Rhinolophus ferrumequinum: one gene and its partners. The protein of the gene in region 4 binds, or shares a complex with, the protein of the main gene of each other region. Links are inferred from orthologs where the notes say so. Each region holds a gene or a part of one and is shown on either strand. Other genes may lie near its edges.

Region 1 (7,710 bases), on a different chromosome or scaffold from region 4:
GAGGAAGTAGGAAGTGAGGCTGGGAACTCGATCCTGCCTTCTAAGATGTTTTGCTTTCCAGCTTTAATCCTCTGTATCTCTCTCACTCCAAATTTACAGCCAGGTCATAATGATAGACTAAATGAGATACTTTGGGGGACATGCCTAGTTGATAGAACATCATAAAGAAGTCTCTTGGTCATTTTTAGTTGAGAAAAAAATTGAGTCTTCCGTCCTCCCTTTCGTTTCTCTTCTAATCTGTGCCTATCTTCCTCACTCATTCAACAGATATTTACTAAGCATATTTGTCATGCAGGGTGGCCTGCGGGGCCTCTGGTCCCGCTACCCACATAAGAACGCAGGATATGGCGAGGCCAAAAAGGAACCCCCACGGAGCCATAGGTAGGGGAGTCATACCACTATATTCTCTCTGGCGGCCAGGCCAGACACACGCAGTAATAGCCACATGATCTGCAGTCCGCCATTCACTTCTCTGCCTGCCAACCAACCAACCTATCAACGCAGCCCCGCAGTTACATCAGTAGCCAATTGGCTAACCGGTTTCAGCTGATGGCCAACCAATCACAGTTGATGGTCATCCACTATCCAAGTAAGCACCTCCCCACACAAGGCCGAGAGCCTGGAAACTGCTCTCCGGGACTCTGTCCACACAATATTCTTCCACAAAATGATGGGGAAAGATCTCACTTTTAGATAAGGAAGATACCTTTCTAGAAAAATGCTTAGATATAACAATTGTCTCTACCATGAAGTTGTATAAAATTGTACATGTCAAGTGCCTGGTGCAGTGTTTGGTATACAGCAGACTTCTGGTAAAAGATAGCAGCTTTTATTTGCACTTTGTAAGTCCTATTATTTCTTTATTTCTTCTTGTCCTCCCTCTCCTCGCCTCCCCTTTACATTTCCCTCCTTCTACAAATAACCTTCCTTGCTTTTTACAATACATCTATTTCTTTATTCGTAGTTACAGATTATAAATGAGTCCAGAATTTCTTTTAATTCTATATTAAATTATTTTCAAAATTATTAAGCTGGTTTCACACTATATCCTTTAATGGTATGAGTACCTACTCCACACTTCATCTGCTCAGTGACCTTTGATTGGTAAAGATTTATTTATACTAGGGTCCCTTGTTTGTTTCTTTTCTTTTAAAAAAATTTTAGTAAAGCTCATCTGAAGTGAAAGACCCCCCAAATCCCTTCATGCAAGGATCTTCAGAAATCTCTGTGTGTCACACAGTGACCCTGCTGAGTTTTCTTGGGCTTTGAGGAAGGCTATGTCAGGGGAAAGTCCAGATAGGGACTCCACCGAAATTAGATTTCTTGAGTAAGTGTGCATTTACCTTTTTCAGAATTTACTAACAATAAGTCAGTTTTTCCATCCTTTAAATTTTCTTTCCCAGGAAGACACCCTATTGCTTTACAACTGTGGTCAAAGGTATGTTGATTCTGGAAAGAAACCTGCTTTCAGCTGCTGTTCTAGCATAAGGCGTAGTGGTATGGAAAAAAAAAAACGCAAGAAGATCAAGTGTGAACGACTCCTAGGTTAGCTAACCTGCACAGGTGAATTCTTGGCAATTTAAGTGGACTAGACAGCCATTTGTCTACATTTCCCCCTCACAGTAGCATTCTTCTAGCTCTTTCCCACAATCCACAGTAGGCAAAACTACTTAAGAAAGAGGAAGGCATCACACTGTCAGGTCATCTATCTCTAAGAGTGCTTCAGCAGTGAATCCCTAATCCTTCGAGTAGACTCCATGTCAGTCTGGTGCATCTTTCTTGTCTCTGGGGTATGTTTGCATTTTCCTATAAAATTTGATTTAATGTTTCTACAGGAAAACAAAAAAGACAAAACCAGCACCACAATTCACCAAAGGGAAATTATGATTTAAATTTTATCCAAAGTTCTTAAATATGGTATACCACTCTCTGGGCATGATGATTGTATTTTCCCTAAAGGAAGAAATGCCAGCAGTTTAGGTTTATCTTTCAAAGGAAGAGGAGAGGATAAAAAGAAATTGAACCACAGGAAAATGTCAGGTCATAGTATTTAAATTGTGTGCCATAATCATATTAGGGCAGAGCACATGGAATTCCTGATCTGTGCATGGCACTGAAGAAGGACCAGCAATTATCTGTGTGTGTGTGTGTGTGTGTGTGTGTGTGTGTGTGTGTGTGTTTGCTCTACCTTCCCACCCCATTTTGCTAATTCAATTGAGGAGCAAGAAGAGGTAATCCAGATACCCAGAACAGGAGGAGAAGGTCTGCAGCTGTGCTTAGAGGAACTGGTGTGAAGAGAGAGGCTCAGTCTGACTTGGAGTTTTGTGCTATTGCATGTGAATGCTCTGGAACTGCCCTAATCGACTGAAAATGAGCCGGCTACAGTCATATGGAACAGGTCTGTTTAGCCACATCTCTGGGTAGCATGGCAGATGGTAGACCGTCAATGGGTGGTATTGATTGGCTGGATTTGCCTTAGGGTAGCAAGACTATGGGTCCTTAAAAACCCGCTTCATCTTATTTTCCTTTATGCAGCTACGTTCAGTTGTGGTTTTCTTTTTTTACTCCCCACCCCCAGCCCCCAGTATCTCCTTTTCTCCCTTTTCAAATCAAAAACCTTCCTTGGTAATCAAAACAGAGAGGTTACCTTGAGATAAACACTCTTTAAATTATCACCAAGGCAAGAAAACTTGAGAATATTTTATTTACTAGGCTGATTACATTTTAATGTTTGAAGAAAGTGACATTTTTTAATTAGTGTTTAAGACATATGGTGAGTGTACAAATTAGCTTATTGCATACAACCAGAATTTGATGTGAGCAACTCCTCCTTCTCACTCCCCAGTTAAAAACTGTCACTTGAAACTTAATATATGCGAGGAGGTTAAATGGTATTAAGTGATTCAGCCTTGACTTAAAGATGAAGGAGACAGTCACTGTTGTGTGTGGCTAAATGTTGCTTGGATAGGCTGGAAAAATACTAATCTCAACATCCGTGTTTGCAAGAGGATGTGGAAATTCCAGGGCTTTAATTTTGTTCAGCCAAGAAAGCAAAATCCCAGGTATCTGTATGCATTGGTTTCTCTTTTAGATACGAGGAAACGTAGAATGGTGCTTGCATGCTCTGTGAGTAATAAAATTCTCCTTAAAAATCAGGCCTTGTAACAAAATAAGTGATGAGATTTATTTTTGTTCAGGTGGTTCTTAATCTTTTAGCATCCCCGTCCATCACTTAGGGCTTTCAGCTTGGGACCTTCTATTTATTCCTGGCAGAAGAGCAGATTAATTGGAATAGAATAATACAAAGGAGACACCAAGTTAGCTATACATCCAAAATAGTATACGAAAGAAATGTTCCACTTCAAAGCAGATCAGCACTAGGGGGAAAAGAACAGCACTGGGGAGAAATATGTGATTAGTTTACTCTTCTGGTTGTTTATAACTATTTGTATAATTGTGTTTTTAAAAGAGATGCTTAAGATTTGTTTTTGTATTTGTTTTTCAGTGTCTTTACTCTTAAGCGTTTGGTTATTTCCTATCATGAAAGACCATATCAAATAAACTTAATGTTTTGCTCAGAAGAAAAGTTACACTCTTGCCTCCATTTTGTATGTGCTTCGTCCATATGCATATTTTTGAATTGAGTTTTTATCACATGAGTCAATATTTCTCTGTTTTTGCTAAAGGAAAATATTCCTGTGGAGTTTTTGGTATCCCCCCTTACTCTGTGTTGGTTGGATTTTTCCTTGTTCATCCTTTGCTGAATGAAACAAAGCTTGTTTGTGTTTCATTCTGCACAGTTCTTATTATTATTATAGAATTGATGATGGTATTTTGTTTTGTTGTTTTGTTGCTATAAGTCAGGAGAAGAAATTTTATTTATTTATTTTGACAACATACAGAGAAAGAGACATGACAAGATGCCTGTTAGGATGCTGGCGTTTCTCATGTCACATCCTATACCCAAAAGCTATTCCAAGGGGGAACAAAAATCAGTCTTTTAAGATGGTTCATTTGAATCTGTGCACTCTACCCACCTGGTGGTTATATAGTGAACTGTTACTTTAAAGAGTAGTTTAAACACCAGCCATGTTTGGGGCAGGCTGCTCTTGCAAAGAGAGCAGTACATATAACAGGAGTCTACTGTGTGTGAGATAAGGGGAAAATTCAGCTCACTGACTAGAGGTTTTAATGTGCAAACTCTAGGGAAATAATATATTGACTGTTCCGTGGCGCGCAAGAAAATTGAAGAACCCTTTGCAGACGGAGTGCTTTGCAAAGGATTCTATCTGTTTCTCTTAAAACAAAATCTGTGGCAAGATGTTTGAAATCAGCAGGACGCTTAATGCTGCTTTGTTAAATAATGAGGTAATATTTTGTCACTTTTTTCTGGGCAGCATCTGTTTTTGTTTTTTTTTTCCTTTCTTTTCCTTCGCTTCATTTCTCCCCCCGTGTTTATGAAGGATTCTCTTTTTTTCTATTCCTTTTTTTTTTTTTTCCCTCATGGAAGTCAAGGAAATACAATTCACGCTTCCATTTCTGTTCCTTCCTTTCGGTGCTTTTGGAAAATTTGGTTGTCTTTTTTATTTGCAGTTTCAGCCGGCTGCTGTTTCCTAGCCCATTGTGCCCTGTAAGGCTTCTCCACTGCGTGGAGTAGGTAGTTATTAACGCTGAATTGGCTTCTGGTACAGTCCATCTGGACTCTGTGTGGGAAAGCTGGCTGCCGGCGACTGATGCTGAGATATCTGCAACCTTTGGGATGTGTGCATGGTGGCGAGGGGCTGACTGATATGAGATTACTTCTTTTAAGGGAAATTGTTATTAATGAGTCAAGAAACTGCTCATTTATGGTAAGAGGGATACAGCGGCACTGGCAGCCCCATAGCTCTGGGATATCATTTTTAGGTTGCCTTCGCTGCTTGAGTGAGACAAGTTTCTTTCTGTGGTGGTAGAGGATTGTGGCGGAAAAAAAAAAATCATGCATGACTGGGAGACTCGCCTGCCTGATTTTTGAGATAATATATTGAGAATCTGTTGCTTTACAAATGTCACACCACTGATGTAGCGGTCAGCCCCTCACTCTGAAAGATGAATGGTACTATTGGAAATGCAATAATAAGGTTGACTTTTCCCAACAATAGGATTCTGCCTTTGTCTTTAGAGAAAAGGCCTCTGAGGACATTTGTGCATTTGTCTGAGGATTCTGTTGAAAGACTTTAGAGTGGAGGTTTTGGGAGAAGTGATCAATATACAAAGTACATGGATTTTTTTAGCCTAGCAAAACCAGCTAATTATTTATACTGTAATATGCAGTTCCTATTTTGGAAAAGTGGCCAGAGTATCTTTTGGTATACCTGTTAATTTATGTCTTACCGAGTGGGCTGAGGTTAGTATGGATAGGAGAAAAGAATTTAAAAAAATTGTGACTTTTATAACCTCCAGAGAAATACAAATTAAATACAAAGTGAAAATCCAAGCCAGCTGTTTTTATTTGTGTTTGTCAGCATTGTGTTCATGTTTACTTTTCACAATATTTTGATGTTGGTGAAATCACATTCAGAGTTTCTGTTGTTGATTTTGAGCACCTGTACCTGCCCTGTGTGCGTATGTTAAGCTCTTGAGCACACTTAACCTGGGAATTCATCCTTAGTACACAGTTCAATAGATATTATAGTACTGTTGTGACTCACAGGACTCTATACATTTACTAAAGAAATTATTTTAAAAGTTTACTTAATTTAGTATTGTTCCACTTAAAGGAATTTATATAGTCTTAATATTTCCACTTTTATATTTCCTGTGTTTTTGTTTCTAATATCTGAGTTTATTTGTATTCAAATCTAATAGTTCATATAGTGTACCTCACACATATTGTTTTGTGGTGTATCTGTATTTTAAAAAGTGTGTGTACATATGTGTATGTATGTGTCCATGCTTGTAGAGCATAGTTTTAATTTTTAGAAATGCAAAAGTTATTTTCTTTTCTAATAATTTTTCACAGACCCATTTATTCTTGGACTTTGAAGCCCAGAGTGTAGCATGGTTTTTGGCCTGTATTTCTACTTTGCTTAGTCCCATCTCACTGTCAACTCCAGCCAAAGATTAAAGATTATGTTGAATTATGTCTTTAGTAATATTTGTTACCTCTGTGTATTTATTGAGGAACAAATTGATTAAGTTATGAATTATATAAATAGTGATAAGTTAGCTTTTTGGATAGAAGTAAAGCACAAACGCCTCAGGTAAGCCACTTAAAAAACTGAAACCAGAACAAAAAACTGTATAATCAAAGACTTGGTAGAGTAGAGGTTATGAAATGTATAGCATACACAGACTGTATACATCACCACACACTTGCTAAATGTCTCCATGCAAGTCTTTTAGGAGGCCAAAGAAGAAAGACATCGTTTGAAGGACAGAAGCAAAATCACGTGTTCAGTTAAGCAAGATGAGCACTCTGCACTGGTTATGAAATGAGGCTGTGTCAAAAGCATGTTATACCTTTCTCTAGAGCAGTAGGGAAAGCAAAGAGAGAATGTGTTTTGGTGGATTTTTAAAAATTCAGATCATGCCACTATCCAAGTTGAGAAATAAGTTCATTTAAATAAATCATTCATCATTCTCTGTTTTGAAAAGCTTAGACAGACGACAGAAAGGTAGAGGCTGACAGCTGCCCTCCTCCTCCCCCCACCAGCTTTTTTCTTTTTTGTTTATTAGGAAATAGTTTTCTGAAGCAAACTTGTATGAACCTAGTTCCCGGAGCAAGCACAATCTCAAACTTGCTTTCTTTTGAAACACTGTCCATGTTAGCTGCAGGACGAGCATAACTTACTAAAAATCAGCAATATTGGGAAATAATAAAGTTAAAATGTGGATGTATTAGCACATTAAAGTGCTTTTGTTGTATCTTTAAGCCTAGAGGCAGATCATTAAATATGCATTTCGCTAGAAAGCAACCATCGAGAAAGATGAGGTGGTTGAAAATATTCTAGTTGGGAAAAGCCCTCTGTCAGAGGGCTGGGGTGGTGCAGCCCTCTGGACAGGGAAAACGGAGGACACTCCCACTGTTAAGATTTGCAAGCCACCAGTGACCTGCAGTTGTTATAGTACTTTTGAGCTGGGAGGAGGGAAGAGGTAAAAATACAAGTATGGCTGTTGTTGCTTCAGCCTGGCCTTAATTACCAGACACAAGAAGCAGTTCAGAAATCTGGTCTCTGTTGTTGTAGAGGTCACCAAATCATTAACATCGTCAATCTGGCAGTAGCTAATTTAAATAGCACCTGATGTTGCAACGCCTCCCTTCGTTTCCCCAGCCAATCAGATCTTGGCTTTGGCTGACAGATGGTCCCATAAATGGATGTAAAAAGGGGAAGCTTCGAGCCAATTTCAGCAAGGCTCTGTTCAGTTGTTCTTATCTACATCCTAGAATCGGGGGTTTCAGCTCAGTGCTCCTTTTCTTTCTTTTTTTTTTTCTCTCTCCCCCTCATCCCCCCAAAATAGTTGATTTACTTTACAACCATCCACACTGTGTTTTGTGGATCTTTAAAAATATATAATAGTACTCATTTAAAAATATATATTCCGAAACCTTGCAAATTTTAAGAGAAGAGTCGAAGCTCTGCGAGACCCAATATTTGCCAATAAGAATGGTTATGGTAGGTATGACTAGATTTATAATCTGTTGTTTGTGTTGCTGGAGGGAAGAAAAGC
Region 2 (7,874 bases), on a different chromosome or scaffold from region 4:
CCATATTGATCATCTATAGATACAATAGTTCCAAGTTAAACATCTCAAGCTAAACCACAGAACAAATAGATTTAGATTTTTCCTCCTGTTAAACTTTCTAGATCCTCTTAACTGCCTCCAAAAGGCACAGCCACCCACCTCCACCTTCCCACTCAGAAAAGCCAAGGACTGTTCTGAAATGCAGCAAGTTTCCAGTTGAAATGAGGGGAGTAGGGGAGTGAGAGAATCAAAGATTTACTGGGGGCTGCAACGTGAGAGGAAAGTGCACTGTCAACACATTTAAAGTCAGATTTCAGAAAGCAGAAATACTCTGCCCTTATACTTCCCAGCCAGAGTTCAATGAAAAGATTTGAAATCCACCATGAATTAGATTTGGGGATATGACAGAGGTACCCCACTTTGCTGAAGTGAGGATAGTACTGGCACACGGAGACAGAGAGAGACACACAAACACACACACACACACACACACACACACACACACACACACACACACACACACACACACCCACTCATCTAGGAAGTTCTAGACCCTCCAAAGAGCCCCAGCTCACAGCCTGAACACAAAGCTCTCACCCCAGATGGTCCCCTTGTAACAATGGACTGAAAGGGGGTGGGGGCTCAGAAAGGATAGTACAGCCAAAGCATATTCTTTGCAAAATCCAGTTGGGAGGGGAGGATGTGGGATATGAGGGGCTGGGGGTAGGAGTCTGAAAATACTAGTGTCCTTGCCTGTTGCAGAAATATTATGTAAATAAAACACAAGCATAAGAGAATTCTTTTGGGAGCAGGAACTCATTCTACCTCCCCAAGGGAGTCAAAGGGGACCCCCCACATCCACTTAAAAATTATGATAAGGGAAGGGTGGGAAGAAACAGAAAATCAGAAAATGAGGCCTGCTAGGAAGTTGCAAAAATGTCCATGAGTCTAAACTCTTGGAGACTTTTAGCTTCCCCACAAAAATGGCCCCTCACACTTCAATCAAACTCCACAAGGCTTCTCCCCTATTTTTTCCCAGTTTACTTTTCCAAGTAAGATTTCTTAGCCCACCCCAGGCCCAGCTTATTTTTTTTTACAAGCTGTAAACCACCCATTACAAGATCTTAGCCAATCTTCCCTCCCTGCCCCCAACATCCGGAGTTGGGGGTGGGAAGGCCAGAAATGGGTTTCTTCCACTGGAGACACTATGGACCCCAGGACACAGCCTCTTAGGGCCCCCAGGCTGTCCCCCTCCCCAGAGAAGAGCTCTTTCCTACCTTTGTTTTTTGGGGACGGAGTGTTCAATCTCTAGGCGTTTTCCTTGCAGTTCTACTTTCCCTAAAGATTAAAAAGGGGGGGGGCAATATAAGAGCTTGAACAGGGGTGGGGAGCGGGAAAAGGAAGGAGAAAGACATTAGGGTAATTCAGGAGTTACTGGGATTTGAGACCTTCCTAGGAATCCAGGCAGTGGATTTCGCAGCCGGATGCGAAAAGGTCGCTCTGAGAATGGTGGAGTCTGTAAACTCATTATTGTGTTTTCTTAATTTTTATTTTGTTCTGTTGCCTCACTGGGGCTAATTGGGTCATGGATCGCTCTGGGAGCTGGATTTGGGAGGAGTGTGAGGACGTCTGTGTGGGCGGGTTGCCTACACGGCTCCCAGATGTGGGGAGAAGGGCCGAGAAAGGGCCCCTGTTTCTCCCAAAGTGTGTTGGGTGTGGGGGTACTAAACGAAACTATTTTTCCGTCAAGCCAAAGAAGAGGGCTTCGGGCGACCTGGCGGTCACCTGTCGGGCCGGTCGGGAGGTGAAGCCCTGGGGAGCGAAGCCCGGACCGCTGGGAGGGTCCCTGGCGGCCGCGGCGCGCGCCTCCCCGCCCAGCCTCGCGTCTCGGGAAGCAGCATGGCGACCCGCCGCCGCTGCCACCGCGCCACCCGCTCACGCCCCACTTTCAAATCAAAATGGCTCAACCTACAGGGCCTGGGCGGGAAGCGGGACCCCCTCTCTCAAGTCGGGCCCGAAGGCTGCAGTCCCCACGGAAACCCGGGAGATAGCAAATGAAGTGGGGCCCCCTTCCCTGCCTGGAAAGGCCTAAGGCGAAGGAAGGGTAGCCAGGGGTGCTCATGGGGTGGAGAAGGCGTCCAGGCGCGGATGGCGAGGGGCCGACGTGAAAATAACGCCCAGACGGGGGTCGCCTCAGTGGCGCCCCCCCATTACTGCCACTGGGGCTCCCGCCCCTTCGGGAGGGGTCACGGGACGACCCTACTAAAGCCTCCAGAGACTGGGAGGAAGGGGTGAGGAAACGCCGAATATTTCCACGGCGCGGTAGGGGTGAGGGAGTGGGGGTAGGCATGAAAGAGTGGGGGTAGGGATGGAGAGTGGGGTAGGGTGGGGGCGTCGAAGGAGGTGGGTGATGGGTGGGTCCTGAAGCCAAGCCCCGCAGGCCGGTGGGAGAGCACAGTTGGCGGGCACGGAAAAGAGAAGCGCAGGTCTCCGTTGTTCGGGGATTTCGTCGTGGTTTCTCGGGGAGGTGGGAGCACTCTTACCCGAGAAAGTTTCGATGGCCTTCATCGCCCAGTGCTCGTCGGGGCAGTCCACGAAAGCATAGCCGGATTTGACCAAGAACTGGCCGCTGTAGGAGATCTTGTGCTCCGCAAACACTTTCTCCAAGTCGGCGGGGGTCACGCTCTCGTTTAGGTTGCCGATGTAAAGCTTGTTCATGGTGGCGGGTTCGGGGCGGGACGCGGTCCCTAGCAAGGCCGAGCGAGAGGGCGGGGGCGGGCGCGGGCGGAGAGCCTCCTAGGCCAAGAGGCGGGCGGGCGGCCGGCGGCGACAGCCGCAAACTTTCTTTGCACCCCACCCCTGAAGTTGTCCGGAGCCGGGGGCGCGAAGGGCGGCCAGAGGGCGCGCAGAGGTCGCGGAGGAGTTCGAGAGGCCCGGGAGAAGTGCCCGCGGCGCGCTGGGAGGTGGACGACGCGGCACTGCTTCTTTCCTTCTGTCCGAAACCCCTCTGAGCGGGCTGGTGTGTCACGTTTCTCCGCGGCCGCCCTGGCGCCGCCTCTAAATAAAATCGACTTGAAAAAAAAAAAAAATGGAGCGGAAAAAAAAAAAAAGGCGAAGCCACGTGGTGAAAGCCCCCACCCACCCTGCAGGGGAAGACCCCCGACGCCTCCGGAACCTTAGGCCCTCCAGCCCGGCCCAGCCCACCAATCTCCCGCCGGAGGTGGGGGGCACTCAACTCACCCCCTGAGTCAACTGGGCGGCGGGTGGGGGGCTGCGTTCCCGAAGCTTCACTTGCCCCCTCCCCCTTTGCATGAATCTGGCCCCTAGGGAGGCGCCCCGCCCCCACTCATCCTCATACCCCAGCCCTGGCTGGGGGAGGGTGGTCGGGCCCAGAATCTCCCACCTCTTTATGGATAAAATGTACGGTTATTTTTTTATTCCTGTGGTGGGTGGGGGGGTTTGCCCACCCTACCATGGTTAACTGCTAGCGACTGACAGGCGGGGGACGGCGGAGATAGACAAAGAGAAGCCGAGGACTCTGGGGTCTTCAGGAGGGGGTCGCGCGAACCAGCGATTTAGAAAGAAAGGCGCCTTTTCCTGGATTTTTAAGTGGGGGGGGGGGTCTCGGCCTTCCCTGCCCCAGCCCTGGGAGACTCCCTCGCCTCCGGGAACCCAGGACCGAGGGTCCCTGAAAGCGCGGGACCGGGAGGCTGGGAACACGGGGGATCGCGGTTGGGAACGAGGGATCCACAGGAAATCAGGTTTCGGGATTCCCACGGGCGAAAGAAATTAACACCCAAGGTTCCACTGCTGAACGAAAAGGTTTTGGGGTCCTGGGGGAACCGGTGGCTCCGGCCCAGGAAGACCCCGCGAGAGGGAAGGGTGGAGAGAAGGACAAGGAGTGGTAGCGTGAGCAGACCCGGGCGAACCGAAGGGATAGGTCTCAGCGAGGGAGTGACCGGGTGGAGATCCGAATGGTCCCCTTCTCCCGCCCCGACGCGGGGACGGACAGGTGGAGTCCCCTCCGCCCGCTCCACCCAGGACAGCGACAGCAGCTTTCCCCGCGTTGGGTTGGGGTCTCGGAACTTTGTTTGGGGCGCAGGATCGGAATCCAGGCGGGAAGGCGGGAGAGGAGCCAAGAGCAGGGGGCCGAGCGCTAAGCCCCGCCCCCGTCCCCAGGTCAGACCCGCGGGGGGAGGGGGTAGTTTCCGCTCGGCGCTAGGGAAGCGAGGGGCGGGAGCTTAGAGGAGGGGGCGGTGGTCCGCCCCCCGCCTGTTCCTGGGGAGGGGAAGCGGATCCGCCCAGGTCCCTTCCCTCGCCTTTGACCAACTCGTTCCGGATCCTCCGGCCCGGAGAGCCCGAGGGACGAACCCGACTGGGCAAGGGGCGACACGTGGGCGGTCGCACCCCGTCTCGGCGGTGGGGGAGGGGGCAGTTCGCCGCGCGTTTCGGAGTCCAGGATACGCGGCAGAGAACGGGATCTGCGTTCCACGCGCCACCGGGATCCTGGGCCGGGGGACCAGCCAGGCCGACGAGTTTCCAGCGCCTGGGGCTGGGACGGCGCCAGGGGGTGTCGGAGAGCGCGACCCGGGGACCCTGGAGCCCCTTTGGCCAGGGAACCAGGGAAAGAGGGGGTGGACCCTCAGTATTGCCAGAAGCTCCCTGAACTAGGCGGAAGCTCGGGTTTTCCTCCGGGTTCTGCGGGAGGGAGAAAGCTTTCTGTCGGGGGCACGCGAGCTGCGAGGGCAGGTGAGAAAGGGGGTCACTCTCCCTTTCCCGGTCCCCGACCCCATTGTCTCAGTCGCCTGCGGCCCGAGCCGACTCTGCAACACGTGTTGGCTGCACCGATATGAATGCCTTGGGTTTTTTTCTTATTTGTTTGCAGAGTCAGTGAGTTGACTCCGACTTGGGAGCACCGCTCTTCTGCCAGACGATTCTATACCGTTCGAAAAGTCGGGAGTTAAAAGACGACATGCCGCACCTTTGTCCCCCTCCCGGTTTTCCCCGCGCGCTGCAAAGAAATGGGTTTGGGCGTAGGGGCGGGGGAGGGCTTCCGACTCGGTGTCTCCGTCTCCACCACCTTCAAAACCGACCCTCCAAATCCGCGTTTTGTTCTAGCCAGCCACGTGTTTGTCGCATTTTTGTTTGCGATCTTTTTCTTTCCATGGGGCAACAGAAATTAAAATACTACATGCTATTAGTTGCTAAGAGGAAAAAGTCTATCCAAGAAGGTGGGCGACATCTGTATCCCACCCCCCACTCCGACCCTCCCCTGTTTCTATGAGCTCTTGACCATAAACATAATTTTAAATCCAACGAGCTGGAATCGGTACCTGCCACATAGTAGGCATTCAATAAACATTTTGTAAATGAAAACGAGCTAATACAAACTGCAGAGCAAATTGAATTCAGAGGAAAATTAAGAGTCAAGGGGAAAAAATTATCTTGGCCAGAATGTGTGGGTCTGTTGCCTGGGGACTTTTCTTGGTGTTGTGTGTGGACTTTTGAAAGGGCTAAAAGATAGTCTCAGAAAGGCTGTTGTATTCCTTGGCCTTTCCCTAAATAGGAGCCCCACTCTCCTTCAATCTTTTCTGCTATATTGGGGAACAAGAAAGATTGTACTAGGCAGGGCGTTCCATTCCCAGAAACTTGACGTGCTATTTCCTTCATTTAATTTAAATCTTAAGGAATTAATAGAAGCACCTCTCAGGTTTTCTCCCTGGGGGACATAACCACTACTCTATCTCTTCATTCCTAAAACAAAAACATGTTACACCGCACAAAAATCTACATCCAGACCTCTAAAATGCAGTCCACCTTTGCCTATCTTAGAATCAAAGGGAAACAAAATTTTTTAAAGTAATAATTGAATTCAGTTCACTTTTAGGTTGATTTTTTTTCCATTTAAAAATATGTAAGCCTAAATGTGAACTGGAATTAGTTTATAAAAATGACTGTGGAGAAGAAAATGTAAATGTATAAAATTAAAATTTTACCAACCATTGCTAAATTGAAACTGATGCGTTTTAAAAATCAGCTGTTTCACTGAATTCTAATCCACCCCCCCTCCCCCACCAAGGGCTTCTGTGTATAGTCAGAGGCTGCAAGAACACAAGAGAGAGGAGACAGCTGGGGTGAGATGCAGACCTTTTCAGCCCCCAAATCAGTTTTGTCTCAGTGACCTGGCTATTTTAGGCTGGAGTTGGGGGGACTGAGTGATGGTGATTGGTGCTTCAACTCTCCCTTCTGAGTGAGCCCAGCACTAAAATTAACCTGAGAGAAGGGTTATTTTTCTCAAGACTCACATTCCTAGGTTAGGGATAGGAATGAGCAGACTTAGGACCCCATGATTAATCATCCTTTTTTTTTAATTACGGATAACTAATAAACATTGCATTTGTTTTCAATTTTTTTTTTTCTACACAGCTTCTTTGGGAAAAATTAATCAGTTAAATTTAGTTTGTAAGAGTTAAAAATACAGCTGCAGGATACATTGTTTTCTTTAATAATAATTTATGTAATTAATATTATTATCAATTATTAATTATTATGCTATACTTCTTGTTCTCTTTCATTTTTCCTGGAGACTTGTTTGGTCTAGTTGCAGAATTGAATTTTCCTCTGAATTCAGAAACCCTGAACCTTGACTCCATTTTAAAGATGGGATTCTGATCCATTTTCCTTCAATGTGAATATACAAACACACGCAGAGAGACAAAAACATTTAAGAGAATGAAATAACATTTTTAATTGGAAATATAAAGTGGAAAAAATCAACAATTCCACCAGTCATAAAAATTCACTTTTATTTTTTAAATGTTTCTTTCCAATATTTGTCGATTTGTAATATTTTCTATTTTGTCTACTTATTTTTATATCTTAATTTTTTCCTTGCTGTTGTACCATAAGCATTTTCCCATGCTGCCTCAAAGTTTTCATAACTATCATTTTTAACAAACATGTAGCATTCATTTCAGGAGGTGTAAGTTAATCATTGTTATTTTAAAATATATGTTACATCAAATTTTTTACTTTTCTGAGTGGAACTGAATAGATTTGGGGGGCATATAACTTTTTCCTTTTAGATTAGCTCCTATGGATAAATCCCCAGAATATATATTGCATTTCAAATCTAACATTTATCAATGACTTTCTATTTTAAAAGTTTAGCCTGTTTTACAAAAGAAAGGACACAAAACAATTGGTAAGCAGTTAGAAGGGAAATACATTAAAATTGAATTTTTTCTATTTTTCTAATGAACCATAATTTTTAAATGAAATTATAGTTTCTATAAAATATACAAAAATAAAAATTATCATTTCCTGAGAACTGTTCTGACTTCAAAGTTTTAAGAGGAATTTGTTTTTTGTTTGCTTGGTTTTTATTTTGTTGTTTGCTTGTTTTTTTCATTGTTGTTGCCCTGGGATATTTTGTTTCTTCCTGCAACTTGAAGTTTTAATGTGGTTCTTTTAGATGACTATAAATTTTGAAAAACTGTAAAATAGTCAAAATTTAAAAGCACATGTAGCATTTTCTCCTGTCAAATAAATAAGGATAATTATGTGCCTAAGATAACCCATAAAATATAAGAAAATTATAAGCAGCAGAAAAGGACAACTTCCTCTTTCAAAGTATCATTCAAAAGTGTTTAATGTTTAAAATCTTACAAAGAAATGTGTGTATTCCAGAAATAGAAGAGGTTCAAGGAGAAAAAAGAACTTTAAGAACAATCATTTGTTTTTCTATGGGTCACACAGTGTGTGTGACAAAACTGCTCAATTTTTTTGTTTTGGCTTAGGTTTGCAAGGTAGAAATTTTTAGATAATAAAAGGAGTAGTTTATTTTATAAACTTTAAAAAAATGGATGTTTCCAAATTAAGTTTGTTAGTAAATT
Region 3 (7,059 bases), on a different chromosome or scaffold from region 4:
TTTTCAGTTATTAAAATATAAATGTCTAATTAAAATGTCTATACCTAAAATGTTACATCATTAATATTTATCTTCTGATTCCTATCCTAGGAGAAAACAGATTTCCTAGGAATTCTGAAAGTTAAACCATTCAAGCATCAACAAGATTGACAGGTTTATTGCATTAGATTTTTTTTAAATGATACTTAACTTTCAATTTCATATAGAGTAGTAAAAACTAAATTAGATGGCAGACTCAGGAGATAGTGGTGTTGGCTAAATTTATTCTATTACATATGTGAATGTAGCTACTCCACAATTAAAATACTTTTGTTGCCTTGTTGATACTGATACATCTATTATTTAAATCACTTATAATAAACCACACTTGTTTATCAAAATAAAGGATCAGAAAAAAGGTAGAAATCCACAGAGAGCGTCTCTCAATTTCAAATAAAGTCCAGGAAATTCAAGTAAAATTCCCAATACAGAAGCAGATGAGACAGAGAAGCATCCAATCTAAAAAAAACTCCAAAAAAATGTAAAATTAATCATTAAATGAGCAATTCAAATAATTAAGATCTAAACATCAACCGTTTCCTTCAAGTTATTTCCCACAGCCCAAAATTTTAGCCAAACAGTTACCACCCCAAAATCTTAAGTAATACTATTAGATGGAAATATTTTTAAATGACTTCCTCCAAAATTCAAGATGTAGTATGTTTTACTAGCAGCGGACAAGCAGAAGTTATCAAATGAAAGTTATTATTTTTCTTTTTAAGGTAAGAGACAAAAGTTTGCATAATAGTCGCTGATACAATTACCTCATTTGTGATTTGTTTCTCCTTTTCCACCTCCAATCTTACTGAAGGTTGAATTGCTCAGCCAAGACCCTTTTTCTACACATACATACATACACACACATACACACGTGTCCCTCGAAAACAGAGTTGATACACTGTCCTGGGCTGAAAGCATAAAACAAAAGGCCAACTTGAAGACAAACCTCATGAGGTGACCTAGAATGGCTAAATATTTAATCCAAAATATTGTGGGTGTGGCTCGATTTTTTTTTTTTGATTTTTTTTTTGGAGGGGGGCGAGGGAAGCCAGTCCTGGCGGCTGCCTGCTATCTGCCCTCCCCCTCTGCTTTCGCTTTGTGCTCACAATGCAGCTCCTGTAAAGCGCTTCCCTCTCCCCGCAGCCGCCGCCATGTTAGTCGCTCTCTCCATGTGCCCAGAAACCCAGCGATCGCCCTCGGTCTAACCCAGACCCACCCCCCAGTGAATCTCAATCGGTGCAGTCTCCCTCCCATCCGTCTTTTGGTCCTCAGGGGACAAAAAGCCGCTGAAGAAAACCTTCTTGGGATCGAGGTGAGCGTGAGGCTCAGAAGACAGCTAGACAATTGAAACAAAGAAGGAAACGGAGGGGAGACCATCAAATGCGGGGAGCAAATCGAAGACCGACTCGAATGGCGCTTTATAGAGAAGCAATTCTAGTTTAAGATCCTAAACACATTTCTTTCCCAAGGGAGAGGAGAGAGGCACTGAACAGGCCTCAAGTGCACGGTAACGGAGGGGACAAACCCCACGGCTAGAGGACGTAGGCCGCCCCAGCTCCACGAGGCACCCCGTTGAGCCCTGAGCCCCTACAGCAGGACCTCGTTTCTCCCCGCTGGCCCGAGTCAAAGAACTCGTGCCTTGGTAACGGAGAGAAGGCATCACACTGAAATCTGGCGACAGGACAGGTCCCCACCCTTACACATCCCACTCCAAAAGGCCAAAAGGCCTGGCCCACAGCAGGGGGACAGTAATCAAGAGGACCGGGGGGGGGGGGGGGCAGCGCCGCGTCCGGGTCAGGTGACAAGCACCTCCCCTAGGAGCCCGTTTTCTGGGCACGAAGCTCGGTTTACTGTGGACACCGAACGTGGGGGGGGAGGGGAAGCGCCGGAGGCCGAAACAGTGAAGGCTACAGGCAGTGTCATAACAGCAAACCCTTCCTTCCCCGCCAACTCCTGGCACCTTTTTCTTCTCCAGGTTCCGAAGTTTCTTGTCGATCACCCCGAGAATCTGCTTCATGGCCTCAGTCTGGACAGCGCCGGTGCCGGTTGCGGGGTGCTGAGATGCCGGCGCAGCGGCCCCGGCCCCCGCCGCCACCTCACTCCCGGAGGAACCCGACGGGGGTGGCGGTCCGGACGACTTGCTGCCGCTTCCGCTGTGGCTGGTGGCCGAGGGCATCTTTAGACCGTAAGGGGAGAGAAGAAAAAAGCGGGAGAAAGGACAAGAGCGGCGAGTCAGGCGGCGGACGGAGCGAGACGCGGGACAAAACGCGCAGCGGGCGGGAGCCTGAGCGAGCGGGTGGGGGTGGGGGTGAGGCCGCGCGCGCCGCGAGGACAGGAAGGGACGGCCGGCGCGCTCGCGACCCGCCAGCGGGGCGCCCGGCCCGGCCTCGCGCCGCCCCCCGCCCCGCCCCTCCCCCGCGAGGGCCACCGGTTTGGCCTACCCGCCCCAGGGCACCGAGGCTCGCGCCGGGGGCGGGGCTTCGCTGCGCCGGCCAACGGCCAGTGCAACGGTTTCCACCAGGGAGGGCCTGTAGGTACTGTCGCCTTCCAGGGAAGGGAGGAAAGAGAGAGGTCGGGGCTTAAGAGGCAGAGGAGGGTGGAGAAGGGCACTGGAAATGACCGCAGGGGACGGGGTGGGATGGGGAGAGACTTGAGGAGCAAGCCCCTCGCAAAGGTCCAGCCGATCCGGAGGTAAAGGACTCTCGGGGCAGCAGCCCTCTTCCCGTTCAGCGCCTCGGTCCGGGGTGGCGCTCACCGTGCGCACGCGGAGGCTGCTGGAGATCCCGAGTGGGCGACTGAGGGGGCAAGGGTGGCGGTACGTTCCGTGGGCGCAGGCCGCTTCGCCCTGTCCCCGCTGCACCGAGAGCCGCTGCTAGTGAGGCGGAGAGCCGGGAGCGGGAGGGACTTAGCCAGCCAGCACTCTGGGGCAGAGGGGGTGGAGGAAGCAGCGGGCGGGGACCTTCGCGGCTTCTCGGGCTGCCCGGCGCGAACGCCTGTGGGAAAGGGCTCTCTCGGCCTCCTACCCACCTTGCCCAAGCCCCCGCCGTTGGGCGCTGCCGCTCGGCGCAGGTCGGAACAGCCCCGGGGAAGCTGCCTGAGCGGTGCCTGGAGTTTTCAACGAAGTCGAAGCTAGGGTCCTTCAGGCAAAATTGCTTGGCGTCCAAACGGGGACAATAGGTGTCAAACAGCTGGATCTGAAGCTGAAGACTGCCTTGTGTAGAAGGAGGGGCAAAGGTTTCTGCAAGCAAGGGGTGCGTGGTGTGGGTGGTGCAATCCCAGCTCTTAGAATTTCTTCTGTATGCAGAGCAAGCAAGCCCCCACATCCCAAAAGGTCTTTTGAAAAAAGACAACTTCCCCCACAAAACAATCACCCAGTAACCTAGGAGTTCGCTGTAGAACGCGTTGGAAATGAGCAAGATGGGTGGCTTTATAAAAGACTTAAAACTCCAGACTCCTTAAAAATAATCGTCAACTGCCTTAAGAAGATATTTATCCAAAAGGCCTGAGTATTTCGAATGAGAAGTTTTTCTTTTAGATTTACCTAAAACTTTTAAGAAAATGTTGAGTGAAATACAAAACATTTTTTTTCCTCCAAGAGAATTATTCCAGCCTTGTAATTAACCCAGGGGCAGGGTGGTTGTGGGTGTGGACAATGAACACAAAATAAGACGCCAAGTGCTGGAAGGAAATGTATAAAGAGGAATATAATCAGTGGAAATTCAGTAATATAATGTATGACAAAAGTAAATGACCGATTTATAACTTAAATTCCATGAAAAAGGAATTTAGAAGAGGATTCTACCAAACCCACTGTTCCTTGGAGAATAAAATGAGTAATGCTAGCTGGCAACAGTGTGTCTTGAGGGAACCTAAAGAAACAACTGTAGCCTCAAGATATTTCAGTTAGCTGCAAAATCTGTTATCAATTCATTTAAATATTTATTGAGCACCTTACTCTGTTAAAAAAACTCTTTAGTGCTAGGGATTGTGAACAAAATATCTTCATGGATTTTACATTCCACGTGGAGAGAAGTAAATACATGTCAGATAGTGAAGTGGTAGAGACAATAAAACAGGGTGGTCAGGAAAAACCTTACCGAGTGACACTTGAGCTAAGACTGAAAGAAGTGAGGAAGAATTTTCCAGGTAGAGGGACCACCAAGTGCCAGGATCTGAGAGGAGAGTGTTCTTGGTGAGTTCAAGGAACAGAAAGGAGGCAACAGTGGCTAGAACAGAGTACTAGGAGACATCAAAGACATAAAAGAGGGCCAAGTCTTGTCAAGCCTGATAGGCCATTGTAATTTGCTGAGTGAAATGGGGAATCACTGCATGCATAGTTTTAAGCAGAGGAGTAACCTGTGATGAACCTGTGTTTTAAAATATCCTCTTGCTACTGTATAAAGAATTTATAGTAAGTGTGTATCAAAGGTGAGATGTAGGGTGGAGCAACAGCAGGCCTGGGAGGCCAATTTGGAGGCTGTTGAAATAATACAGCCCAGAGATAGTGGTGGCCAACGTCAGGGTGTTACCGTAAAGGTGGTGACAGGTAGCTGGATACTTTATATGTTGTGACAGTAGAACCAACAGAATTTGCTAACCAGTTGTATGTTAGGTGTGAGAGAAGTCAAAGTTGACCTAAGATTATTCAAGATTTAAGCACCTGAACTGTGCTTAGCACTATACTGAACCCTATGCAAACCTCGAAGCTAAAAAGGACGGTCAGAATCCTTTAGCTCCTCGAAACTTTTGGTGTACTCAGCCTGTTATCACTATCAAAATCTCAGGCCGCACCCCAGACCTACTGAATCTGCATTTTAATAAGTTCCTCAGTTGATTTATATGTACCCTGAAGTTGGGGGGGGGAAGGAGGAGGGAAATCACTCATTCCTTAGAACTTGACCAGTGTCTTTAAGATCAGACGTGAAATTCTCTAGCTCGCAAATTCTCTCCCCACCTACAAAATCAAACTGGGGGTGTTGTGTAGCCCAGCAATCTGTGTGTTAAGCCAGCCAGGGATTCTGATGCATGCTGAAGTGTGGGAACCAATGACTTGGAAGCTTCTGATGATACAGGTTTGAACCGAAGAGGGCTTATGATAAGGTGTGAGAGAGAAGGAAAGGCCTCTTCTGCCTTTCCTTGGCACATTATGCAGTGGCAGTTACAAAGCATAGAGATTCATGGTCAGCTAAGTTGGACGTTTCAAGAAAGTAAATTGTTGAGAGGGAGCAGAGCAGGATCGATGACAACACAGATAACCAAGAATCTCATTTGGGGGTCCATCTCACAGCTCACAGTATATCAAGATAGGCTAGGTTATGCTGCAGTAACAATCTTGAAAGCTCTGTGACTTAGATTTGCAAACTAGTCCCTGGGCCAAGTGCCCTCCGTTTTTGTAAGTTTTTTTGGGATACAGGCACATCCATTCATGTACATATTATGGCCATTTTCGTGCCACAGGAGAGCAGAATTGAGTAGTTAACAGAATGATGTGCAAAACCTAAAATACTGTCTCATTCTTTACAGAAGTTTGCCAATCCCTAGCTTAAAACAAATGATACATATCCGTCATGGTTCAGCAGAGGGCTCTGGTCATAGTGGTCTCTCAGTACATTCAGGTTGATGGAGAAACCATACCTCGTGTTGCCGATTACTATGCCATAAGGAAAAAAACTCCAGAGTACCTGGAATAGTCAAATACTACACACAGGTCAGCTTGTGTCATGTGTGCTTACTCCTCATTGGCCAGGAAGAGTCACATGACCCCCATCAACTGGAGAGATGCTATTCTAATCAGATGCCTGGTAGGAAGCCAGCTGAACCAGAAATATTTAGTAAACATACATACCTATCATGCTGTCACCTCCTACGTCATCCCAATTCCATTCCCTTGCTGTTCTGACATTCTTGTAATTGTTTGTTCAGGTCAGCAAGTCCAGTAACACCACTAGATTGAAGACAAAGCAACGTTTTGCCCAGCCTAATGCCACAGTCCCAGCAAACCAAATTTGTCTATTTCCTACCTGACAAAAAGGGGACTGAAGCTGTATTTATGTAAATTTTTAATACTTGACTGTCTTTTTTAAACCTTTTTTTTCTAATCCAAAGCCCTGTAGTACTTGGGGTTATTATATTACTGAAGAAATAGAAAAATTATAGTTTCCCCAGCAAGCCAGTGAGAGAGCAGGATATGTCTATAAACAGAAAACACTTTCTCCAAAAACCTTGGTGTTAAAGTTATACCCAATATTAATATATTTTAATAACACAAATCTCCCCCAAGCTGACATTCACTTTTTTAATTCATTAGACAACAGCAATCTGAAGTCTCCACAGTCAAGTGAAGTGAATAATTGAACTGCTTATCCGGATCATTTTGGCAAAACAGTTCAGCTGCTTCAACTTGAATCACCCAATAAGCTAATACCAAGCTTATTTGTAGCAAAAGAAGGGAACTTTCACCTAAATTACATGAACTGCCTTTCTGCATCAGAGTGGCAAAAACCTGGCCTATATGTGAACTACGTACACTGTTCACACAGCTAAGACTCTTGTTTTTCAGTTATTTTACAACTCAGTAGTAAACATTTCTATCATAATTTTTCCAGTGCTCCCTTTTTTATGGTAATGTCATAATTTATGTGTTTATGAGCCACCATCAGACTGAGCTTTTCAAGGGGAAAAAAACAGCTGTTTTGTTTGCATCTCTGTATCATCAGAAGCAATAATATGCCTGGCACAAATGTTTCGTCAATACTGCCTATATTTACATAACTGTGGGATTATTATTATTATTGGTCCATACTGACTCTTTCCCTTTTACATTGTGGTTATCAGCTGAGGTAACATTCTTTTCCAGTTATATTTTCTTATGTCCACCTTAATTATAACATTATGCTTAGAAATACGCTTCCTATTTTGTAGAGGTACAATATGTCCAGAATAGTTGTGGGGACAGAGTCCCAGAGAGCAGTTTCCAGGCTCTCGGCCTCACGTGGAAAGGTGCTGGCTCAGTTATTAGAT
Region 4 (7,179 bases):
ATGCTGACATTAATATCCCTACAAAACAGAAGTGTGTCCCAACCAGAAAGCCAGTTTTCTTCCTCTGAACCATCTCTAACATTTACTTTTTACTAAATACCTGAAATATAGCACACAAGCTAACACCTAAGCAATATTATAAAATATGACGCGTGGGCCGTGGACAGAAGAGGAAATCCATCCCATGTAGTCACCTAAAGACCTTATTTACTAAGGCCACAGCCTATGAGAGATATTTATTATCTACTTTCTACTTTATAAAGCCCATTCTTCACCATCTCTCACCTGGCTTCCAATTTAGCTTTCCCAACCAAGGTGAGGCAGGGTGTCCAAGAGTACTTAAAAATAAAAAATTTTTTTGAGTAAACAGAAAGCTGATTGAGATGTAAAACCATAAATCTAGTTAACTGTTACAGTGTGAACAGCAACCACAAGTGAGATTACAGTTGCTGAATCTAAATTTAACTCCATGGCTGGAAGGACAGTGTTGCTTTGCACTAAAGGTTTTGCCACTAGATGTTAACAACTGACTAGCCAGAGGGTGGGAAAAAAAGCAGTTTTTTTAACCTACCTACTTTGACAATTATCTCCCTCAGTAAAGTCAACAAGTTTTGTCCAAAGCATTATGTTCAATTAAATGAATATACAATGCATATTTACATTCTGAAATGTTATTTTTTAAAAACCAGTCTAACTGCAAAATGTTGAAGATCACATGGGTAATTTTATTAAACTGGCAAAAAAAAATTAAAAACTGGTTTAGATCACAAATTCTGGCTTTGTATTAAATTTCATCATTTAATTAAACATTGCCCCATCCATCCTCCTAAGAACCACATAAAATTCACAAACCTATAATAATTTAAAACTAATCTCTGCCTTTTACTTTCTATGCAAAGCCCTAAAACAAGTAAAAAAAAAATGTAAATTACAAAAAACTGCTGCAAAGTAGGTCACCAACAAACATTACCAATCTCCTGATGTTCCCTAGCAGACTGTCAGCTGAGAACAGCAAAGTGAATGTGAGTTAAATAAAGAACAAAGAACTGCCTACTTTTCTACCAGTTGGAAGAGGTACAAAAGCTTAGATTGAAAGGATTTAACAACAAAAGTAACCTCTAACTTGGCTGGGGAGCAGGGAGGCACCCAAGTCTTTTATTATCACAATTTGCTTCAATTCATTTGTTCTTAATAAATGAAAGCACAAGAAGAGATCAGCTGGGCTACCAATTTGTGAACTACCAGTTTTCATATTCCTGTTCAATTGATAACCATGTATTTGCTTGAGGCCAAGAACAGTTTTTGGGTTTTTGGGTTTTTTTAAGAAACATTTGAAAGGCAAAATAAAAATTTCCCACAATTAATGCACAAGATAATTTCAGTGATACATTTTACCTCAAGCAGTAATAAAATTAGCTGGACTCAAAGTTAAGAGTTTCAATGTAATCATTATGTTTTCACATTTGATAACTAAAAATTCTAATTCGATAGATAAGGGGTGTCTAAGTGCAGGTAACTGAAATTGCTACAGGAAGGCAAGTTCAAGTGAAACAATGTTATATTCTTACAGCATTGTCACCTATTATAGGTAAAGAACTTGTCTATACAATATTTCAATCCTTTCTTGTTACTTTCTGTTAAACATGGAAACTATTAAGTAAATGGAAACACATATTAAGGTTCCTCAGTTTTTAAATTTTGTGTTCTCTGACTGTAAATCAAGAGCTATCCGAAAAAGCGTTTGTACAAACAAAACAGATGCCTTTTTTTAAAAGGTGGAAAGCCATTCCAATCAAAATTAATTCAGAAGAGTTTGTCCCAAAACTTTCATTGTAGTTTTATCTCAAGTAGAGACATGTGTCACGTCAAGTAATGACCTGGGCCTGCAACACGGCAACATTTTTTGTTCTTTCATTAAGCCAAAGAGTATACTGGCTTTTAAAAATCTAAAACGTAACTCTACTAGAAAAAGATAAACCCAAGTCTTTGGAGGTGTCTTCCACGTTTCCATACACTCATACACAGGAGCCTAGGAGTAAATAAATGCTAGATAAATGAACTGAACGTAGACAGGCATTCATCCACAGACCAACCCCACTGCCAGAAAGGTAAGATTCCCAACACATCTCCATCACCCACCTGTAATTCACCTCCCATAAGCTCCGCTCTATACTGTAACTGAGCACTAGCCTTTCCATTCCAATTTCAAACATTAACCTACACACGCTGCTGAGATCTGAAACGCATTGCTCTGAAACCTCATTTTCTTCAACTACAAAACAAGGAAGTTAAACTAGGTTCTCCAAGGGCTTTCTCAAAAGTCGGCTCCGATGGAAAAACGAAGACAACTGATTCAAGGTCTAGTACCAGCAGCGCCTAACTTCCTGCTGGTGGGAATTTCCCATCAGCGTGCTGTGAGTCGCACATCGGACGAGGAACACTGCCCGTGTTCACTGGCACTTATTCCTTTTATTCTGTCCTTTATCCAGAAGCTTCTAGGGCAGCACATCCGTCAGCTAGCTACGCGAAGACACGTACAAAGGAAGCCCAAACCATTTCTTTTCCTTTGTCTTAATCGCACGTCCAACTCGTCTCCCTGGAAGCCCATGAACTGGCTCAAGTACAAATGCCACTGCAGTCTTCGCAGCAGTTGGCCTTTAGAGGCTGATGTTGTCCCCTGGGACGAGTACTCTGGGGGCCAAAGTGCCCTAGGGCCGCACAGGGCGCTGGAACAAAGACTAAAATAGGCTCGGGGACTAGGAGTCAGGTGGCCTGGGTTAAAACAAATACCTGCCCCTTACCGTCCGTCTGCCTGTGACCATGTCACTCCACCTCTGGGCCTCTGAGTCCGCTGTAAACTGAGGGAACCTACCTTGCAGGGTCGTCGTGGGAGTAAATGAGAGGCACACAAGTTGCCCAGCACAATGCCTGGCACACAATAAGGGCTTCGAAAAATGTGAGTTATTATCATCATTCATTACCCATGCACTCGCTGCACCCCCTTTCACTGCCTGCAAAACCCTGGAACCACACTTCTACTTCCCCGGTCGAAAATTCTTATCGCACTTTCGTGTGGCCCCCTCCCCCCCCCATAAAAACCTTCTTTCGTCCGGGTCAAGCTAAAGCTCCACGCCGGGGAGGAAAAACTCAACTGGCCCGTGGGTGGGGGAGCGAGCGGGAAAGGCTGGCCAACCGGCCGCGCGGGGCCCCAGGCCCCCGAGATCGCCCTGGGGCCCGGGGCGGCGGCCGCAGCTCGCTCTCGCCCCACGTGGCCGTTGGGCGCGGCACGCGCACGCGGCGGACACGGCCACGCGCGCCCGCCGGGGGGCGGAGAGCCTCCGCGCGCCCGTGCGGCCGCCTGCGTCCGTTGGGGGGGGAGGGCGAGGGCGCGCCTCGCGCGAGCGCCGCTCGGACCTCTCCCTCTCACAACAGCCCCAGCTCGTCCTCGACCCAGGGCCGCCCCGCCCCGCCCACACCCCGGCGTACCTGCGCGGCTGAGCCGGGGAGGAACAAGCTTTGCTCCACAGAACGACACAAGGCAAAAGCCCCTCACGCAACTGCGTCCGCACACACGCGTGCTCCGTCGCCGGTCTATATATATGCCATTCAGCCTAACTTGTTGCGGCCAGGTCGGGCAGGCTGATGACCAATCCCGACTGCGTCCTCTGGGCTCCTCGAGCAGCAATTGGGCACTGACTCAGGATGAAGGCGTGGCTCTTGATTGGCTTTGACTCATGCCTATGAGACTATGAGGATCTCGTTTCCCTAGTAACAGATTGGCACAGAGAGAGACCAATTACTTCAAGGTACAGTGGAAAAGGGGGTGGGAAGTTCTTTAACTGATACCCAGAGTAGCCAATAAATGCATGGGGCCGCTCCTATTCGTTTAAACGTCTTCCCCTGGGCGGAGATCCGTTTTCCAATGCAGGAGCGGTTGCTCCACAAGGTGGGGCCCGTGTACTTTGGGGAAGTAAACCCCAAGCAGCTAGGAGGTGGGCGCCAGGGAGGCCAAGGAGGCCCCCGACCAATCGCAACGCGAGAAGGAGCTGATTGACGCGAGGGTTGGACTGCACCAAGGAGACGGAGCCCCAGGGCCGCGGTGCCCTCTGGTGCGGGTCTGAGGCTCTCCTGGTCCCCGCTCTCCTCTTGGCGTTCCCTCGCTGGTTGGGTTCGGCCGCTGAGGCCTCTGTCCCGCCTTTTCTGCACAGTTTGATACGAGGGAAACCAAGTGGTAAAGTTTCCCGTTGTTTGTTTGTTTCTGCTAACTTTATTTCCATGCTTAAGGGCATTTGCTGGCTCTCACCGTTAGTCAGCACTATCGTTGGGCAACTGTTAAGGGAAAGCCAAAGGAGAAAGTAACTCCTGTTGTGTTCCTAAGATCTTGTAAAAAGTAGCACGTGAAACTGTTGAGTTGGAGAACACAAATTTCTGCCCTGCGGTTCTGGGCAAATGCTGCTGCTGCAGGTCGACCGGAAGGTTGGCTGGTGGATGTTCACTGAGGTTTTCCCTTTTAGTTTTTGCCGAGGGACAGTAGTTTGTAAGTTGTCCTATCAGTTTGGGCCTCGATGCAACATCCTGTGCGTCACCACCATTGTCATTCAGTTTTCTAATCGCTGTGGGCGTGGAGGCTTATTTCTTGAAGTTGTTCCCATCTTTAAAAGGTAACTTGTCAAACTCCTATAGGGACACCCTGAAGATTTCCCGAAACAGTTCGGGGGCTGAGTGACGCTCCAGCCTGGTCCTGTCCACGTCTCACTCAGTGTTTTCTTGGGCCCTCTGTTGGTCACCATGAGCATTTTATATGGAAATACATAGACACGCCTCGGTCAGTTCTTATTCTAGGAATGTGACCCTGCGGGAGGGGTTCCCGTTAAGTTTTGCTGAGAAATTTGGAAATGAAGCACGTGGAGCGTCTTTGTAGGGAAAGAAGGGGTGTGGGCAGCCGCCTGGTGGCATCTGGGCTCATCCCTATTCTCCTCGTTGGCCCCGGAAACGCGGGGAAAGCGTCCCTCTACCCGCCCGTCCTCCCCGGACCCCACTCCCGCAGCGGCCGCGCTCTTTCAGCATTTATTGAGATCCAAGGGCTGCGATCAGGGGTGAGCAAGACGCTGTCCCTGCTCGCTGTCACCCATTCAACAGACCGGGCGCTGCGCTGGGCCGGTAGCTCCCAAAACCGGGGAACAGGTGTGTGGGACTGAACACACCGGAGAGAACTCAGTCCAGACCAGGAAGCTGCAAAAGGTTTTCTGAAGGAAGGAAACTTAAGGATCGTGTTAGCCATGCTAAGGAACTTGAACTTTATTCTCAGAGCAGTGGAAAAAAGCTCCTGAAAGGTCTCTTAAAGATGGACTAAGAAATTTGCATTTTACAAGATGACTCTCCAAATTGAAACGCTAATCAGAGCAGATTGGAGAAACTTTAAATTCACAGATTAGTAATTTAACCCAGGTGGCCTGCGGTGGGGGAGGGGTCAAAGCTATTCTTAATTACATTTGGAGGAAATTGTAAGTGATTACAGCTTTTTGTAAGGCTATTTGGCAGTCTATTAAAATTATGTATGTCCTATTTCTTGGTTGATAGCCACATTTTTTTTACAAAGAGGCATGTACCAGGGCGTTCATTACAGTACTGTCAGCTTTGTTAGAATATTTAAATACTGAAAACGTTAATTGCTCATCAATTTGCAAACTGATTAACTGGTGATATGCACGTAATACAGAACACTATGCAGCAGTTGAAAAAAGAATGAGGTACAAACTATACAGATTGTTAACTGGATTGTTAATTGACAAAAAATCAAGTTCAACAAAACATACAGTGAATTCCCATTCATATTAGTAAAAACGAAACCAAAAAAACAAAACTGATTTCTGCATGTTAAAATAGGTATCTAAGTGCAGAGGAAGGGTTTTAAATTTAAAACAATAGTCATTCCTCCTAGGGAATCCCCTAGGTTGGGAGCAATGAGAATAATGTATTATTTGAAAGTTTTACAACGAGACTGTGTTCGCCGGGTAATGGGAGGTAGAAAGAAAGGAGGGAAGGAAAGAGGAATGAATTACCAGAGGGAGAATGTGAACAAGATCCTTCAGGTGGCTGTTGCTGTCTCCACAGGACAGAGAAGTTGGCATCTTCCTGTGGTCGTTTACCCACTCAGATCATAAACCCTCAGGACCCAGACGCTGGATATTTAGTAAATGTTCAGTGAGTAATTTACCACCAGTGAATTGTCTGGAGCACTTGCTTTCTCAAGGGAGATTTTGCCCCCAAGAGACATATATGTGGCCTTGTCACAAGTGGGTAAGAGGGGCTGCTAGCATCTAGTGGACACTGGCCAGGGATGCAGCTGAGATCCCCCCTCCCCATGACAAAGGATTATCTGGCTAAAAAGTCAATAGGGCAGGGGCTGAGAAAGCCGGGTCTAGTTATCTTAGCATCTAAGGGAGAGTCCCAGCCTCCTACTGGTCTTTCTCTCCACTGCCAAGCAAAATGTGCGAACCCCTTCAGTACACTACTTCACCCTCTCTTTCTGCCAATTCTCCCCAAAGCTCTGAGAATCAGGGTGGGAAGAAACCTGGGTAAGACTCCAGAAATACAGTTTGGTGGGGGGCAATGGAAGGGTGGTAGAAATGTTTGGTAAGGAATGATCCTAAGGATAGCATCTGGATCAGTGTTTCCCACACATAGCTAATCACTCATGAAGGGTGATTAAAAACCTGTGCCTGTATGTATGCGTATCTTGACCTGTTAAACTCCCACCTGTGACAAAGACCTAGTACAATAATATTCATTGCAGTACGGCTTGTAGTAGAAAGAGACAGGAAATAACCCAGCTGTCAAACTATATGGGACTGGTTAAAAACAATACAGTGGACTGTCAGAGAAAATGAGGCTGATCTATGTGTATGGTTATAGAGTGATCTCCAAGAGGTACCAATATATAAAGAAAGCAAAGTGCAGAATAATGGAAACAGTTAAAAAGGGAGGAGGGACGCCATGGGTGATTATTTCTATAAAGATATATTGTGTTGCTATAGCTATCTATATACATTCCTATATGGTTTTGGTGTACTTGCACAGATTATATCTGGAAGGAGTCACATGCAACTGCCAATTGCTAACAGGGACGTGAACTTGAGCCAGGGTAGGAGAAAGGCTTCGTTTCCATTCTGTATCCTA

What was found.
Region 1: G3BP1 (region 4) and ELAVL4 share a complex: the UniProt entries of both Homo sapiens proteins name them as parts of the TAU mRNP complex. The link is inferred for Rhinolophus ferrumequinum from reciprocal best matches to the Homo sapiens genes G3BP1 and ELAVL4.
Region 2: G3BP1 (region 4) and IGF2BP1 share a complex: the UniProt entries of both Homo sapiens proteins name them as parts of the TAU mRNP complex. The link is inferred for Rhinolophus ferrumequinum from reciprocal best matches to the Homo sapiens genes G3BP1 and IGF2BP1.
Region 3: the proteins of G3BP1 (region 4) and CAPRIN1 are in contact, whole or in part, in a crystal structure (PDB 8TH7), measured with the Homo sapiens proteins. The link is inferred for Rhinolophus ferrumequinum from reciprocal best matches to the Homo sapiens genes G3BP1 and CAPRIN1. Residues at the interface, in NP_005745.1 of Homo sapiens: Glu4, Lys5, Pro6, Ser7, Leu10, Val11, Glu14, Phe15, Arg17, Gln18, Thr21, Leu22, Met29, His31, Arg32, Phe33, Tyr34, Gly35, Lys36, Gln58, Lys59, His62, Leu114, Glu117, Asn122, Lys123, Phe124, Tyr125; in NP_005889.3 of Homo sapiens: Met363, Gln365, Met366, Gln367, Gly368, Pro369, Tyr370, Asn371, Phe372, Ile373, Gln374, Asp375, Ser376, Met377, Leu378.

The regions. Positions count from the first base shown.
Region 1 is NC_046292.1:35,737,897-35,745,606, forward strand, and holds the start of ELAVL4 (ELAV-like protein 4), read left to right. Parts: upstream 1-4,704; 5' UTR 4,705-4,733; coding exon 4,734-4,850; intron 4,851-7,361; exon of another isoform or gene 7,362-7,646; coding exon of another isoform or gene 7,647-7,655; intron 7,656-7,710. UniProt on the Homo sapiens protein: RNA-binding protein that is involved in the post-transcriptional regulation of mRNAs. Plays a role in the regulation of mRNA stability, alternative splicing and translation.
Region 2 is NC_046304.1:34,183,710-34,191,583, forward strand, and holds the start of IGF2BP1 (insulin-like growth factor 2 mRNA-binding protein 1), read right to left. Parts: upstream 3,014-7,874; 5' UTR 2,698-3,013; coding exon 2,523-2,697; intron 1,318-2,522; coding exon 1,257-1,317; intron 1-1,256. UniProt on the Homo sapiens protein: RNA-binding factor that recruits target transcripts to cytoplasmic protein-RNA complexes (mRNPs). This transcript 'caging' into mRNPs allows mRNA transport and transient storage.
Region 3 is NC_046294.1:23,801,676-23,808,734, forward strand, and holds the start of CAPRIN1 (caprin-1), read right to left. Parts: upstream 3,013-7,059; 5' UTR 2,795-3,012; intron 2,216-2,794; coding exon 2,000-2,215; intron 1-1,999. UniProt on the Homo sapiens protein: mRNA-binding protein that acts as a regulator of mRNAs transport, translation and/or stability, and which is involved in neurogenesis, synaptic plasticity in neurons and cell proliferation and migration in multiple cell types.
Region 4 is NC_046307.1:23,502,090-23,509,268, reverse strand, and holds the start of G3BP1 (ras GTPase-activating protein-binding protein 1), read right to left. Parts: upstream 3,017-7,179; 5' UTR 2,975-3,016; coding exon 2,873-2,974; intron 1-2,872. UniProt on the Homo sapiens protein: Protein involved in various processes, such as stress granule formation and innate immunity. Plays an essential role in stress granule formation.